Linked DNA regions of Xenopus tropicalis. The protein of the gene in region 2 purifies or fractionates together with the protein of the main gene of each other region. This does not show direct contact. Links are inferred from orthologs where the notes say so. Each region holds a gene or a part of one and is shown on either strand. Other genes may lie near its edges.

Region 1 (8,083 bases), on a different chromosome or scaffold from region 2:
ACATGTCAGTGCCCCCAGCCTGTACCAGCGAGTGGCACGGCCCTGTATTCATGTTATTTCACCCCAGTACATGTCGGTGCCCCCAGCCTGTACCAGAGAGTGGCACGGCCCTGTATTCCTGTTATTTCCCCCCAGTACATGTCGGTGCCCCCAGCCTGTACCAGAGAGTGGCACGGCCCTGTATTCATGTTATTTCCCCCCAGTACATGTCAGTGCCCCCAGCCTGTACCAGAGAGTGGCACGGCCCTGTATTCCTGTTATTTCCCCCCAGTACATGTCAGTGCCCCCAGCCTGTACCAGAGAGTGGCACGGCCCTGTATTCCTGTTATTTCCCCCCAGTACATGTCAGTGCCCCCAGCCTGTACCAGAGAGTGGCACGGCCCTGTATTCCTGTTATTTCCCCCCAGTACATGTCGGTGCCCCCAGCCTGTACCAGAGAGTGGCACGGCCCTGTATTCCTGTTATTTCCCCCCAGTACATGTCGGTGCCCCCAGCCTGTACCAGAGAGTGGCACGGCCCTGTATTCCTGTTATTTCTCCCCAGTACATGTCGGTGCCCCCAGCCTGTACCAGAGAGTGGCACGGCCCTGTATTCCTGTTATTTCCCCCCAGTACATGTCAGTGCCCCCAGCCTGTACCAGAGAGTGGCACGGCCCTGTATTCATGTAATTTCCCCCCAGTACATGTCAGTGCCCCCAGCCTGTACCAGAGAGTGGCACGGCCCTGTATTCATGTTATTTCCCCCAGTACATGTCAGTGCCCCCAGCCTGTACCAGAGAGTGGCACGGCCCTGTATTCCTGTTATTTCCCCCCAGTACATGTCAGTGCCCCCAGCCTGTACCAGAGAGTTGGCACGGCCCTGTATTCCTGTTATTTCCCCCCAGTACATGTCAGTGCCCCCAGCCTGTACCAGAGAGTGGCACGGCCCTGTATTCCTGTTATTTCCCCCCAGTACATGTCAGTGCCCCCAGCCTGTACCAGAGAGTGGCACGGCCCTGTATTCATGTTATTTCCCCCCAGTACATGTCAGTGCCCCCAGCCTGTACCAGAGAGTGGCACGGCCCTGTATTCATGTTATTTCCCCCAGTACATGTCAGTGCCCCCAGCCTGTACCAGCGAGTGGCACGGCCCTGTATTCCTGTTATTTCCCCCAGTACATGTCAGTGCCCCCAGCCTGTACCAGAGAGTGGCACGGCCCTGTATTCCTGTTATTTCCCCCAGTACATGTCAGTGCCCCCAGCCTGTACCAGAGAGTGGCACGGCCCTGTATTCATGTTATTTCCCCCCAGTACATGTCAGTGCCCCCAGCCTGTACCAGAGAGTGGCACGGCCCTGTATTCATGTTATTTCCCCCCAGTACATGTCAGTGCCCCCAGCCTGTACCAGAGAGTGGCACGGCCCTGTATTCATGTAATTTCCCCCCAGTACATGTCAGTGCCCCCAGCCTGTACCAGAGAGTGGCACGGCCCTGTATTCCTGTTATTTCCCCCCAGTACATGTCAGTGCCCCCAGCCTGTACCAGAGAGTGGCACGGCCCTGTATTCCTGTTATTTCCCCCCAGTACATGTCAGTGCCCCCAGCCTGTACCAGAGAGTGGCACGGCCCTGTATTCCTGTTATTTCCCCCCAGTACATGTCAGTGCCCCCAGCCTGTACCAGAGAGTGGCACGGCCCTGTATTCCTGTTATTTCCCCCCAGTACATGTCAGTGCCCCCAGCCTGTACCAGAGAGTGGCACGGCCCTGTATTCCTGTTATTTCCCCCCAGTACATGTCAGTGCCCCCAGCCTGTACCAGAGAGTGGCACGGCCCTGTATTCCTGTTATTTCCCCCCAGTACATGTCAGTGCCCCCAGCCTGTACCAGCGAGTGGCACGGCCCTGTATTCCTGTTATTTCCCCCCAGTACATGTCGGTGCCCCCAGCCTGTACCAGAGAGTGGCACGGCCCTGTATTCATGTTATTTCCCCCCAGTACATGTCGGTGCCCCCAGCCTGTACCAGAGAGTGGCACGGCCCTGTATTCATGTTATTTCCCCCCAGTACATGTCGGTGCCCCCAGCCTGTACCAGCGAGTGGCACGGCCCTGTATTCCTGTTATTTTCCCCCCAGTACATGTCAGTGCCCCCAGCCTGTACCAGAGAGTGGCACGGCCCTGTATTCCTGTTATTTCCCCCCAGTACATGTCAGTGCCCCCAGCCTGTACCAGAGTGTGGCACGGCCCTGTATTCCTGTTATTTCCCCCAGTACATGTCAGTGCCCCCAGCCTGTACCAGAGAGTGGCACGGCCCTGTATTCCTGTTATTTCCCCCCAGTACATGTCAGTGCCCCCAGCCTGTACCAGAGAGTGGCACGGCCCTGTATTCCTGTTATTTCCCCCCAGTACATGTCAGTGCCCCCAGCCTGTACCAGAGAGTGGCACGGCCCTGTATTCCTGTTATTTCCCCCCAGTACATGTCAGTGCCCCCAGCCTGTACCAGAGAGTGGCACGGCCCTGTATTCCTGTTATTTCCCCCCAGTACATGTCAGTGCCCCCAGCCTGTACCAGCGAGTGGCACGGCCCTGTATTCCTGTTATTTCCCCCCAGTACATGTCAGTGCCCCCAGCCTGTACCAGAGAGTGGCACGGCCCTGTATTCATGTTATTTCCCCCCAGTACATGTCGGTGCCCCCAGCCTGTACCAGAGAGTGGCACGGCCCTGTATTCATGTTATTTCCCCCAGTACATGTCGGTGCCCCCAGCCTGTACCAGCGAGTGGCACGGCCCTGTATTCATGTTATTTCCCCCCAGTACATGTCAGTGCCCCCAGCCTGTACCAGCGAGTGGCACGGCCCTGTATTCCTGTTATTTCTCCCCAGTACATGTCAGTGCCCCCAGCCTGTACCAGAGAGTGGCACGGCCCTGTATTCCTGTTATTTCCCCCCAGTACATGTCAGTGCCCCCAGCCTGTACCAGAGAGTGGCACGGCCCTGTATTCCTGTTATTTCCCCCAGTACATGTCAGTGCCCCCAGCCTGTACCAGCGAGTGGCACGGCCCTGTATTCATGTTATTTCCCCCCAGTACATGTCAGTGCCCCCAGCCTGTACCAGCGAGTGGCACGGCCCTGTATTCATGTTATTTCCCCCCAGTACATGTCGGTGCCCCCAGCCTGTACCAGAGAGTGGCACGGCCCTGTATTCCTGTTATTTCTCCCCAGTACATGTCAGTGCCCCCAGCCTGTACCAGCGAGTGGCACGGCCCTGTATTCATGTTATTTCCCCCCAGTACATGTCAGTTCCCCCAGCCTGTACCAGAGAGTGGCACGGCCCTGTATTCCTGTTATTTCTCCCCAGTACATGTCAGTGCCCCCAGCCTGTACCAGAGAGTGGCACGGCCCTGTATTCCTGTTATTTCCCCCCAGTACATGTCAGTGCCCCCAGCCTGTACCAGAGAGTGGCACGGCCCTGTATTCCTGTTATTTCCCCCCAGTACATGTCAGTGCCCCCAGCCTGTACCAGAGAGTGGCACGGCCCTGTATTCATGTTATTTCCCCCCAGTACATGTCAGTGCCCCCAGCCTGTACCAGAGAGTGGCACGGCCCTGTATTCATGTTATTTCCCCCAGTACATGTCAGTGCCCCCAGCCTGTACCAGAGAGTGGCACGGCCCTGTATTCCTGTTATTTCCCCCCAGTACATGTCAGTGCCCCCAGCCTGTACCAGCGAGTGGCACGGCCCTGTATTCATGTTATTTCCCCCCAGTACATGTCGGTGCCCCCAGCCTGTACCAGAGAGTGGCACGGCCCTGTATTCATGTTATTTCCCCCCAGTACATGTCAGTGCCCCCAGCCTGTACCAGCGAGTGGCACGGCCCTGTATTCATGTTATTTCCCCCCAGTACATGTCGGTGCCCCCAGCCTGTACCAGAGAGTGGCACGGCCCTGTATTCCTGTTATTTCCCCCCAGTACATGTCGGTGCCCCCAGCCTGTACCAGAGAGTGGCACGGCCCTGTATTCATGTTATTTCCCCCCAGTACATGTCGGTGCCCCCAGCCTGTACCAGAGAGTGGCACGGCCCTGTATTCATGTTATTTCCCCCCAGTACATGTCAGTGCCCCCAGCCTGTACCAGAGAGTGGGCACAGCCCTGTATTCATGTTATTTCCCCCAGTACATGTCAGTGCCCCCAGCCTGTACCAGCGAGTGGCACGGCCCTGTATTCCTGTTATTTCCCCCCAGTACATGTCGGTGCCCCCAGCCTGTACCAGAGAGTGGCACGGCCCTGTATTCATGTTATTTCCCCCCCAGTACATGTCAGTGCCCCCAGCCTGTACCAGAGAGTGGCACGGCCCTGTATTCCTGTTATTTCCCCCCAGTACATGTCGGTGCCCCCAGCCTGTACCAGAGAGTGGCACGGCCCTGTATTCCTGTTATTTCCCCCAGTACGTGTCAGTGCCCCCAGCCTGTACCAGAGAGTGGCACGGCCCTGTATTCATGTTATTTCCCCCCAGTACATGTCAGTGCCCCCAGCCTGTACCAGAGAGTGGCACGGCCCTGTATTCATGTTATTTCCCCCCAGTACGTGTCAGTGCCCCCAGCCTGTACCAGAGAGTGGCACGGCCCTGTATTCATGTTATTTCCCCCCAGTACATGTCAGTGCCCCCATACATCCCATCAATGCCCCCAGCTGACAGTGAGGGGCCCTGCCCCCATACCCATAGGGCATTACTAGGCCTATAACAGTAATTGCCCCAGGCACTACCCACTCCAGCCCGTGTAACTGCCCCCTGAAGCCTTTCCTGGGGCCCCAGAATAAAAGAGCGAGTAGGACCCCCCAGTACCCAGCCAGGCCCCCATGGCCACTCACCGTCAGGCCGGTACCCAACACGATCACATCGTACTCCTCATCCATCGCGCCGTGAGGGGAGAGTGCGGAGCTGGAAGCTGAGCTGGACCAAAGATGGAGGAACAGCTTCACCGCCCTGTCTCCTTCCGCGCCAGCAAATAGTTCCTTCCTCTAACCCCACCCCCTGCCCCACCCTACGGCCCCCAACAGCCAGTATCGCTAGTACCGAGCTGCACTGCCGGGCACCGTCTCACTTAGTCCCTAACAGCCCCCCATGCGGGGCCCACAGACACCACAGAGGGACAATAAGGAAGAGGGCGTGTGACCTTAGTTATGCGGCTGTGAAAATAGATCCTTCCGCGTCTGCATCTTCCCAGCAAGGGATACTGGGGGGGCTAAAGATGGGAGGGTGGGGCACTGGCTGTTATCTGTGTAATAGCCCCTCTCTCATTGGGTGTCCTGCCTGTTATCTGCCCAATTACCCCTCTCTCATTGGGTGTCCTGCCTGTTATCTGCCCAATTACCCCTCTCTCATTGGGAGTCCTGCCTGTTATCTGCCCAATTACCCCTCTCTCATTGGGTGTCCTGTCTGTTATCTGCCCAATTACCCCTCTCTCATTGGGAGTCCTGTCTGTTATCTGCCCAATTACCCCCCTCTCATTGGGAGTCCTGCCTGTTATCTGCCCAATTACCCCTCTCTCATTGGGAGTCCTGCCTGTTATCTGCCCAATTACCCCCCTTTCATTGGGAGTCCTGCCTGTTATCTGCCCAATTACCCCTCTCTCATTGGGTGTCCTGCCTGTTATCTGCTCAATTACCCCTCTCTCATTGGGAGTCCTGCCTGTTATCTGCCCAATTACCCCTCTCTCATTGGGTGTCCTGCCTGTTATCTGCCCAATTACCCCTCTCTCATTGGGAGTCCTGCCTGTTATCTGCCCAATTACCCCTCTCTCATTGGGTGTCCTGTCTGTTATCTGCCCAATTACCCCTCTCTCATTGGGAGTCCTGTCTGTTATCTGCCCAATTACCCCCCTTTCATTGGGAGTCCTGCCTGTTATCTGCCCAATTACCCCTCTCTCATTGGGAGTCCTGCCTGTTATCTGCCCAATTACCCCTCTCTCATTGGGAGTCCTGCCTGTTATCTACCCAATTACCCCTTCTCTTTGGGAGTCCTGCCTGTTATCTACCCAATTGCCCCTCTCTCATTGGGTGTCCTGCCTGTTATCTGCCCAATTACCCCTCTTTCATTGGGTGTCCTGCCTGTTATCTACCCAATTACCCCTTCTCATTGGGTGTCCTGTCTGCTATCTGCCCAATTACCCCTTCTCATTGGGTGTCCTGTCTGCTATCTGCCCAATTACCCTGCTCTCACTGAGAGTTCTGCCTGTTGTCTATCCAATTACCCCTCTCTCATTGGGAGTCCTGTCTGTTATCTATCCAATTACCCCTTCTCATTGGGTGTCCTGTCTGCTATCTGCCCAATTACCCCTTCTCATTGGGTGTCCTGTCTGCTATCTTCCCAATTACCCTGCTCTCACTGAGAGTCCTGCCTGTTGTCTACCCAATTACACCTCTCTCATTGGGTGTCCTGTCTGCTATCTGCCCAATTACCCCTTCTCATTGGGTGTCCTGTCTGCTATCTGCCCAATTACCCTGCTCTCACTGAGAGTCCTGCCTGTTGTCTACCCAATTACCCCTCTCTCATTGGGAGTCCTGCCTGTTATCTACCCAATTACCCCCCTCTCATTGGGTGTCCTGTCTGCTATCTGCCCAATTACCCCTTCTCATTGGGTGTCCTGTCTGCTATCTGCCCAATTACCCTGCTCTCACTGAGAGTCCTGCCTGTTGTCTACCCAATTACCCCTCTCTCATTGGGAGTCCTGCCTGTTATCTGCCCAATTACCCCTCTCTCATTGGGAGTCCTGCCTGTTAAGGTGGCCATCCATGGGGCGAAGCTGCCAGTATTGGCCCTTTAGGATGATTGCGCAGCTTATCTGCCCATGTATGGGGCACCACTAATGGGTCTCCCCGACCCACATCTGGCCTGAAATCGGGCAGATCTCCATCGGACAGGTTTGATATTTCCATCGGAACAGGGGCCACATGGACTTGTTGATGCAGTCCCTGAACCAATCGGATTAACCCATAGGTGGGCACAGCGGAAGAAGATCTTGTATAAGCGAATCAGTGAGGGTATCTCATATAAAGAAGCTGCTGCTGGCCCCGGCCACTTACCTCCCTCACTACTAAACGTGCACTAATGGTGCCCTCCCCGTGCAGCTAACAGGCCGAGCGCACCTTAGTGACTCAGTGCCAGCCCTTACCTAGGGAACTGGGTTGTGCCAATGAGGCCTGTAGGTAGTTACACGGTAACAGGGCAGGTTTAACCCTGATAACAAAGCACGAGAGGGTAGCTTGTACTGAAAGCAAGGGCCCGATTGGTTACTGCATGTTGCTCGCTGTCACTGATTGGCTTTTATGTGTGCCTATCAAACTCACCCTAATGCTATCCTTTCCCAAAACAGGATCAAGGCTGCTGCCATTTCAGCCACTGTCTGGTTGCTAAGGTCAGTGGAACCATAGCAACCAGATAACTGAAGAGCAGCAAAGCAAAAAGTAAAATACAACAAAGAAGTACAAATGGCTACTGGGTAACTGTAAGATAAACATCTTATTTAACTCTCTCTCTCTGCCAGCCAGGGCCACATATTGCCAAGTGTATCCATTTATCTACCCACGAGGCTCTCCTACCAGCGGCGCCCCTTCTATGATACTGGTAGGAAACAAGTGAAACTGGAAATAACTGGGGCCACAGACGGGAAACACAAAGCACAAAACACTTTTATTTGCCTCTCGGTTATACAGTGAAGGGTTACGCGCACACACATACACACACCAACATTAATCTGCCATTCCTGCAGTGTACCACTTACCCACGAGCATGTGACTGCCAGCCCAGGTAGGTTACGGTGCCACACACAGGGGCTCAGGGCAAGAATAACCTGAAGCCACTGCCTAGGGGCAGTACCCCACATGGTAATGAGCGCCAGCACCCTAGGGGGCAGTAACCCGTGTGGTAATGAACGATAGGCCCTAGGGGGCAGTAGCCCACATGGTAATGAGTGACAGCTCCATAGGGGCAGTAACCCACATGGTAATGAGTGACAGCTCCATAGGGGCAGTAGCCCACATGGTAATGAGTGACAGCTCCATAGGGGCAGTAGCCCACATGGTAATGAGTGACAGCTCCATAGGGGCAGTAGCCCA
Region 2 (7,898 bases):
TCAGTACAGTAACACTCGCTTCAAATGAAGTTCTTTTGAAGTTGGTTTTGAATTTGTAGCAGGTGATCCAACTTTGACCGTAAGGATAAAGTTACAGCAAATTTTCCAGTTTCCTTCTGTGAAAAAAGACTTGCAGATGTGTGCAAATTTGCAATTGAGAAGGCAGCCAGTGTAATGTAACGGTAAGAACTGCTTCTAAACCTTATCCAAACCGATCTCTGTACATTGCAATGACACAAAGAAATTTTATAAGCAGTTTTTTAGTGTTGCTTATAATTGCATGAGTGCAAGATCCCTCCATTTCTGTTGCACTGCCCACCTCATTAAAGGAAAACTATACTCCTGAACAATGTAGGTCTCTATAAAAATATACTGCTTAAAAGTGCCAATGGATAATCTTAAACTGAAAAATGGCAGTTTTAAGTACTAATGGCTGCCCCTGGGATCATAGGATTCACAGTGCACACAAACAAACCAATTAATGGACAGAGTTCTGTCTTTTACTCCAACCCTTCTTGTCAAGCTGATGGCCCACAGAGCGAGTCAATAGATCTCTGCTACCGTGAGCAACTAACCGCTCAGAAATGCCTTTCCACCAGCAACAATAGGAGTTGCCAGTAGAAAGGCCTATGCATCACTTTGGCTTTCCAAAGTGGCGCAAAGATTGGCAGTTCAAATTTGTTAGTCGCCCGCGGTAGCAGAGATCTATTGCGGGCAACTAACTCTCTCCATGGGCCATCAGCCTTACAGTTAGCTGCAGTATTTCCTGGCAGGTGATCTCTGAGGGAGCACACAGACCATCACAAAATGACAGCTTAAGGTAAAAGATGTAAAGGGAAATATTTACTGATATATGTATTTCAGTTTGGCAAGACTCTTAATATAATATATGATATCTGTTGGTTAAGTATTTACTGTATTCTGGGGGTATAGTTTTCCTTTAAGGACATACATTACTACTTAATGGGTTTTGAAGTACCCTTTATATAGGGGGATAGCAAGTCTGTAACAGTATATGTATTGCCCTGTACTAAACATAAGTTCTCTTTATTTAAAGAAGGATGCAAGTCAAAATTTAAAAAGGAAACAGAAGCCTGTCTTTGCTTGTGTGACTGCAGGGCTGTGATTGGCTATCCCCCTTCTATCGTGCTTTTGGCAGGAACCGTTAGGACACACCCACCCATCATTTAAAACACGGACAGGGACCTAAGGGGTTCTATAAGGAGCTCCAATAAAGGGGCCATATATTATTCACTATTGCCTACAAGATTAGAGGTTGTTTTGTTTATCCTATATATTTCCTTTAAATAAATGCTAACAGTAATTCAAATCCTTGCTGTATCCATGAAGGAGTATCACTGCTAAGACATAGGAACTAGAATGTTTTGCTGAAGAAACACTGACAAGAAAATACATTTTTGCATTTATGCCAATCCTGTTTCATGCCTAATTTCTGCAGTAAGTAGAATTACGGGTATATTTATCATGCTGTGTAAAAAGTGGAGTGAAACATTACTGGTGATGTTGCTCATAAGCAGCCAATGAGAAGCTTTGTTTTTGTTTTGGTTTTCTAACTTTTGAAATCTAGTTGCTGATTGGTTGCCCAGGGCAACATCACTGGTAATACTTCACTTTTTTTGCTTTATGCTTTTTACACAGCATAATGAATACATCCCTTAGTGTCCTGGTTCACATGCAGTCAAATATAATACTTGGACTAAAACAGTGCAGAGAAAAAACATAACAGCAAAAGTTATGTGGCTTCACAATTCAGGCCTTTGCAAGCTACTCATTTTATTAGGGGAAAGCAGAAAAGAAATAACTGTTAAAGGGTACAGTAACCCTTTAAGTGTTTTTACCCTAGTTTTCCCTGAAATAATGAATCAAAGCATTTACATAGTGGGAACCTCCATTACTTTGACTGAATATAAAAAATAGTGCCAGTCTGTTAGGTTGTCCATACATGCATGAGCATATTTTACAAGGCAACAGGAACCTTCTCTGGCTCTGTTTACAGCTTAAACAAAACCACAGACCATAGGAAAACATTGTATGGATAAAACATGTCCTGAGTAGAGGCCTTAATTTTTCAGGACTTATGTTGAAACTGTTGGTAAGACGCCAGAACAAATTATATGAACAGCAGCACAGAATTCACATGCAAAGCACAGGCATAATGGTATGTTTTACTTGTGGTAAATTTCATTCATCCAGAGGAAAGGGTATTTTGGGGAGCGACAAGTGCCCAGTCTGACACAAACCTTATTTACCAGTCCATAGGCATTTGTATAATGAGATGTTCCACAAGGCAAAGGCTAACCAAGACTTTAGTTTAGGGTTTGTTTATTCAGAGTTACTTATCTAGTTTACAATAAATTATCCTGTTGGAAGTGCTGGAGTGAGTTTAGTCAAAACCAATCCAATTTTTAATTCATGATTTATAATGGCAAAAAATATAAATATGGATTTAAGAAAAAGAATAGGCAGATTCTTTATTATTATTTACTGCACCAATTTTTAGCCAAGACATGTTTTAGCTTATACTGCCCCTTTTATAGCTGAACAATGATAAGAACCACCTGTAATCTGGAAGACAGATTCTCATACATTCACTACAATGTGAGTGTAATTTCAGTCATTAAAAAAATGAAAAAAGCAGCAAATCTGGAATATAAACATATATCCTTCAGCAAAACACTGTACTTTAAACCTGCTTTTTGCCCAAAAGTAATATACTATACACCTTACAAATCTGTCACGAACAAGGTCTGACTGGGCCAGCTAGACAGTGGGAAAAAACCCGCTGGGCCCCACTGACCCAGACCCTATCCGGAACATTGGTGCTTCCCAGCTGACCTCCCTCCCTGATCACTTCAAACTTAAACATAAGGTACACGCATTCGGGGGGGGGGGGGGTGAGGCAGTTGGTCGCCAGGGGGGCAGCCATGTTGGGCCTCACACACCCCTGTCACAAGGTGTAGAACCCAGCACCAAGGAGTGAGATTTTGTTTCCCTTATTGCTCCTTTACTTGTGGCTGGGGTATATTGTGTGATTAAAAAAAATATATATTTATATATATATTTTTTTTTGTATAAATATACACACAATTATGTGGAAAGAAAAGAGAAATGATACAGCTGGAAACATTATCAGGCATTTGGCACGCCACTCTCTAACTGAAACAAGGAAGCTGAGGACAAAGGTTGAAAAGCAGAGAGAGCGGATGGAACAGAAATTTCAAGATCTCTTTTCCAAACCTCCTTGAGACCTAGTAGACTACAGACAAAGGGTCATGGTGGTTTACAATCTAAGGTCCCTATCACATTCACATACTTCCCAATGGTCCATTTTTTTAGGAACAGTCCCACATCAAAGACATGAAGAAGGATGGGAAAAGTAGGTGGAATTTTGGCAGATGAGGATGTGCCCTGGGCAAGGCAGGGTAGGAACAGGGCATAGTATAATTTGCCCCTCATTTCATAAGTATGCATTCACAAAACTTACTATGTTAAATTTTCCCAGGAGAAGAGAGGAGTTTCTGCCCCTTAACACATGGGGCAGCCAACCCATTTCTGCCCCCTTTCCCCTCCCTGTCTACCTCCTCTGAGCTCAGACTGGGGTGAGGGGACCCACATAGCTTGTGCTAAGAGAGCTATTTAATTGTTAATTTAAAAAAATGCCTATTAAGGTTTCTGGGGTCAACTTTATGCTACAGCTAGTAAAGTTCTGCACAAATCTGTCTAGGACAAGGTTCTCTTTTAGGTGCACTGGGTCATGGAGGGGGCATTCACCCTCATAAAAGCTAAACAAGGAAGGCCAAACAAAATATAAACAACTTCACTAGTGTTAAAGTGGTCCTCCCAAAATGAAAGAAAATATCATTCTAAGCAATTTCCCAATGCACATTTATAAAATATTTTCAATGGTTTTATCAAATTTGTTTTATAAAGTTTGTAAGCGTAATTGCAGTTGACAGCAGTTTTTTTTGTCATATTCTGTTCTCCATTACATGGCTTCTGCTACATTATTTCAAGTTAACTCCATAAGTGCAGATAAGATAAAGAGATAAACAGCCAGATGAAAACTGATATCCATGGCAATGACATTTGCAAATAACTTTTTAAAAAATATTTCTTTACTGTATATCAATAAGTTGCTTGTAATTACATTTTGTTTTCTGTACATAAAACTGTTTTGGGTGGAGTTCCCCTTTACTCTCTGACAAAGGAATACGTTCTTGCAACTCTGTCACAATAAAAAAAAATGCAAAGTGAGCTTTTTGAGTGTGAGGGAGGAAACTCTTTTAGAGCTCAATTTAATTATTGAGCTATGGATACATGAAAAGGTATTTTTTGTTTGTTCAGTACAACTATTGTAAACAATTAACAAAATAGCTAAGTTGGAAAGTATTTGTTGTGGTCAGTTCCAGTTGGCTCCTCGGTACTACCAAGCCCATTAGAACTCTGGGTATTGTAACGCTTCTTTGTCTGTCACACACAGCAGGAGAAGGTGTTAGAAGCTAATTACTCAGCTGCAGCATACACTTCTATAGGGCAATAGGGCAACAGTTCTCTATCCGAATCCTTTTATTGTCCTATTGTATTCGCTCCCTCCCTCATAAAGAAAGCAAAGCGCACTCACCCCCAGAAGGCAAACTTTCAGTTCTCGGATAGCCATTCTTTACTGTTTCTGTCTTTAGCATTCCATCCTCAGCAGCACAATAGGATTCCACAAAACACAGCTCAGGCTCCGCTCCTCTGCCGCGGATCGCATGCAATCATTTCCTGACCAAAAGTTGGGGGGGGGGGAAGAGGAGGATTTAATTCCTCCAAAACAAACGGAAACCAGTCTGGGCTATTTATGGGCAGCTTGTCACATGGCGTGCAGACAAGCACTCAGTCCGTGCTTTCGTAATCCCTCAGAAATGCAGCATCTCCTGTAGGAAAATCTGCAGGGGGACCCAGGATTTACGGCTGCTTAGGATGTTTCAGCCACAGGCAGCGCCACATTCATATCCTTCCTTCAGTGCTATGGGTTGTGCAGTGTTTATATGCGCCCCATGTTCTAGGAGAACTAGCCTACTTCCCTAACATGCATCCCAGCCTCAAACATCATTGGCATTCCCATACATAAACATAGCCTGGGGCTTCTCCAAAACAGGAAATGATGAGTCCACAGAAAAATTATTTCCCACATATGCTTACATTATTACATACCACATCATAACTAAGCTCTGCCAGACTACCTGAATTTTAATCATGTTAGACCTATATATATATATATATATATATACAGAAAAGAACAGAGCACACCCTGATAATAATCAAATGCCCCGGGTGCTTGCAAGAACCATGTGTATAGCAAGACAATGAGCCGCACACACAGGGACTTTGTTAGAAAACAAAAAAATATTTAATGAAAAAGATCCAACATTTCGAGCACCAACTGTGCTCTTCCTCAGGGATATATATACAGGGCCGCTGCTCCCTATAAGCAGAGTATTCAGTCTGCATAGGGCACCAACTCCCAGGGGGGTACCATCCCAGCTGCTCCAAAAAATCATTTTTAGATATTATAACATACCCCCCAACACTGTCCCGCCGGTTTTTATACCGCATCCCACTGTCCCAGATAGTTCAATCAATCTATGGGGGCAATTGGGGGCACTTACTATGGGGGCATTGTCTATGGGGGATATTGGGGGCTCTGTGTGTGGGGCCCCTATAGTAGGTGTTTTTTTATTATTTTATTTTTACTTCCGTAAAATTTGGGGGAGGGGCACAAAAGTAAATTTCTGCTTAGGGCACCCATTTGGCCAGCAGCCCTGTATATATACAACTGCATCACGATCCGAACTCCTCTTTAGCCACTGTTTATTATTGCCTGGGTGCAGCTAAGGGAATATGTACAACTTCCAACAACTGTCATAAGCACACTCCAAGGGCTTTTGATTAAAAATTCAGTCTTTATTATAACATTGCCATTCGATCAACGTTTCGGCTCTGGCCTAGAACCTTTCTCAAGATACAAATGGCCACATTAAAACATCACATGAAATACCCATAATCACCATAATATCCATATATATATATATACATATAGTGTAATGCTGAGTGCCACAACTGAACAGCCTAGGAAAACTGCCTACAGATGTTGAACAGCTGGCTCATACAAGTAAAATTCTGGGTAAATCTTATTTAAAGCAGCGGTATGGTCAAAGCTGCTGAGTCTTTTTATATTACTGCTCACTGGCATTTACATATTTTTTCTAGTACGATGAGGGTACAATATATCCAAAGCTGTTCAGGTGCCTGCAGTAGGGTTACCAACATTTAGGGGCACATTTATTAAAGTACGATTGATTCCGAATACAAAAAATGTGTATTTTTTCTAATTTATAGAACTGTGCGTATTTTCTGCAATCTTTTCGTTAATTTGAGCAACTATTTTGTACTTTGCAACAAATTTTATGCAACAAAATTGTATTGGTGCAACAAGTACGAAAGTTTCAGAATCATTAAAGCTTCGTTGACGTGACTTTCTATTGGCCAGGTTGGAGCTGCAGAGTGCCATTGAGTCCTATGGGAGGCTCCCAAAAAGATGCACAGAAGGATCAAAGTCAGAAAGTTTTCCCGCTGTTTACGATCATTCAGATACGAAAATTTAGTGACTTTCAGATCGCCAATACGATATTATTGTGGCTATTACGATTTTTTTGTAAGCACTTTCATGACATTTCCAATAATCAGAAATTATCGTATCTAATCCGAATTTTACCGATTTTGGGATTCGAATTCGTACTTTGATGAATCTGCCCCTTAGAGATGCATCTAGTAAATGCATGTTGCAATGCACTGGTTGAATGTAAATTATATTGCAATCAACACAGCAATTCTAATTGGATTTTCTAGATGAGTGTGTCCCTGAATTTTTTTAGATGATCTGGTAACCCCAGTCTGCAGCTACTTACATTATGGGTCATTATGACACCAGGGAGTGCAAGAACGCGTCCCTTAATGTTGATCTACAAAGCACTTGTACCCCCTGTACACTGCACATCCTGCCATTCCTTCCATGTGCCTTTAAAAATGATGCACGAAACACGTACGTGCCTCCCCCCACCTGTCCCTTTTGAATTGAGCACATCCTAAAGAAGACTGCACTTCATTCTTAGCACAGACCAGTGCCCCATGCAGTGGGAAAAATGTAAAAAAATGGCTAATTGCAGCCTTTTTAGCACTTTGCATACTGCATGGGGCAATTTGAATGAGCCCCATAGTGTCCCTGTGCCTTCAGCTATTTGTGGGTCCTGTAAGTAGAACTTCAGCATAAAGTGTTACGAATGGTGTAATTTACTGTTGCTATCTTGCAGGTTGCAGAATTGTTAATATAATGGCTTATATTGGGAGGGTAACTACATAAGAAGTAGATCCTGCAGTTACCGGGGGGCCAGGAGTGTAGGTGACCTGGTAATGTGCTAATTAATGAGCAATTTCAATGTTTTGGTAGAATAGGTCAATTTACCTACATCTGGGGGCCCTGAATTAAATTTGATGTGGGGCTCAGTTATGCCACTCCCACTCTTCAAGCCTATATCTGAAGCATGACATGGCTCTGTTACCTATGTGTGCAGCCCTGGGGCAATTAAGGCAGCTGTGGTCTGACCTTATTGCTCTTTATATGGCAAATATAAAACCAGTCACATTCTTTATGACTGGTCCAATTTTGGCCTCTTTCTGTAGAAAATATCTGACAGAAAAAATGTCTAGAAATAAAAACATATAATTTAGCAATAAATGATGTATAAGTATGTGTAAATGACATGGAAACAGGAAATCACTGTATAAATAATAAAGTATTTAAAAAAAGCTTTATTTTTGTGGATGTTTTATTTTAT

The links. Proteins that work in one complex are often made in the same cells at the same time.
Region 1: the proteins of rab31 (region 2) and gdi1 purify together in Homo sapiens (co-immunoprecipitation; 3 studies listed by BioGRID and IntAct, counting the BioPlex papers as one, with this or other methods). This does not show direct contact. The link is inferred for Xenopus tropicalis from reciprocal best matches to the Homo sapiens genes RAB31 and GDI1.

The regions. Positions count from the first base shown.
Region 1 is NC_030684.2:140,490-148,572, reverse strand, and holds the start of gdi1 (rab GDP dissociation inhibitor alpha), read right to left. Parts: upstream 4,977-8,083; 5' UTR 4,883-4,976; coding exon 4,838-4,882; intron 1-4,837. UniProt on the Homo sapiens protein: Regulates the GDP/GTP exchange reaction of most Rab proteins by inhibiting the dissociation of GDP from them, and the subsequent binding of GTP to them. Promotes the dissociation of GDP-bound Rab proteins from the membrane and inhibits their activation.
Region 2 is NC_030682.2:104,640,489-104,648,386, reverse strand, and holds the start of rab31 (ras-related protein Rab-31), read right to left. Parts: upstream 4,750-7,898; 5' UTR 4,679-4,749; coding exon 4,643-4,678; intron 1-4,642. UniProt on the Homo sapiens protein: The small GTPases Rab are key regulators of intracellular membrane trafficking, from the formation of transport vesicles to their fusion with membranes.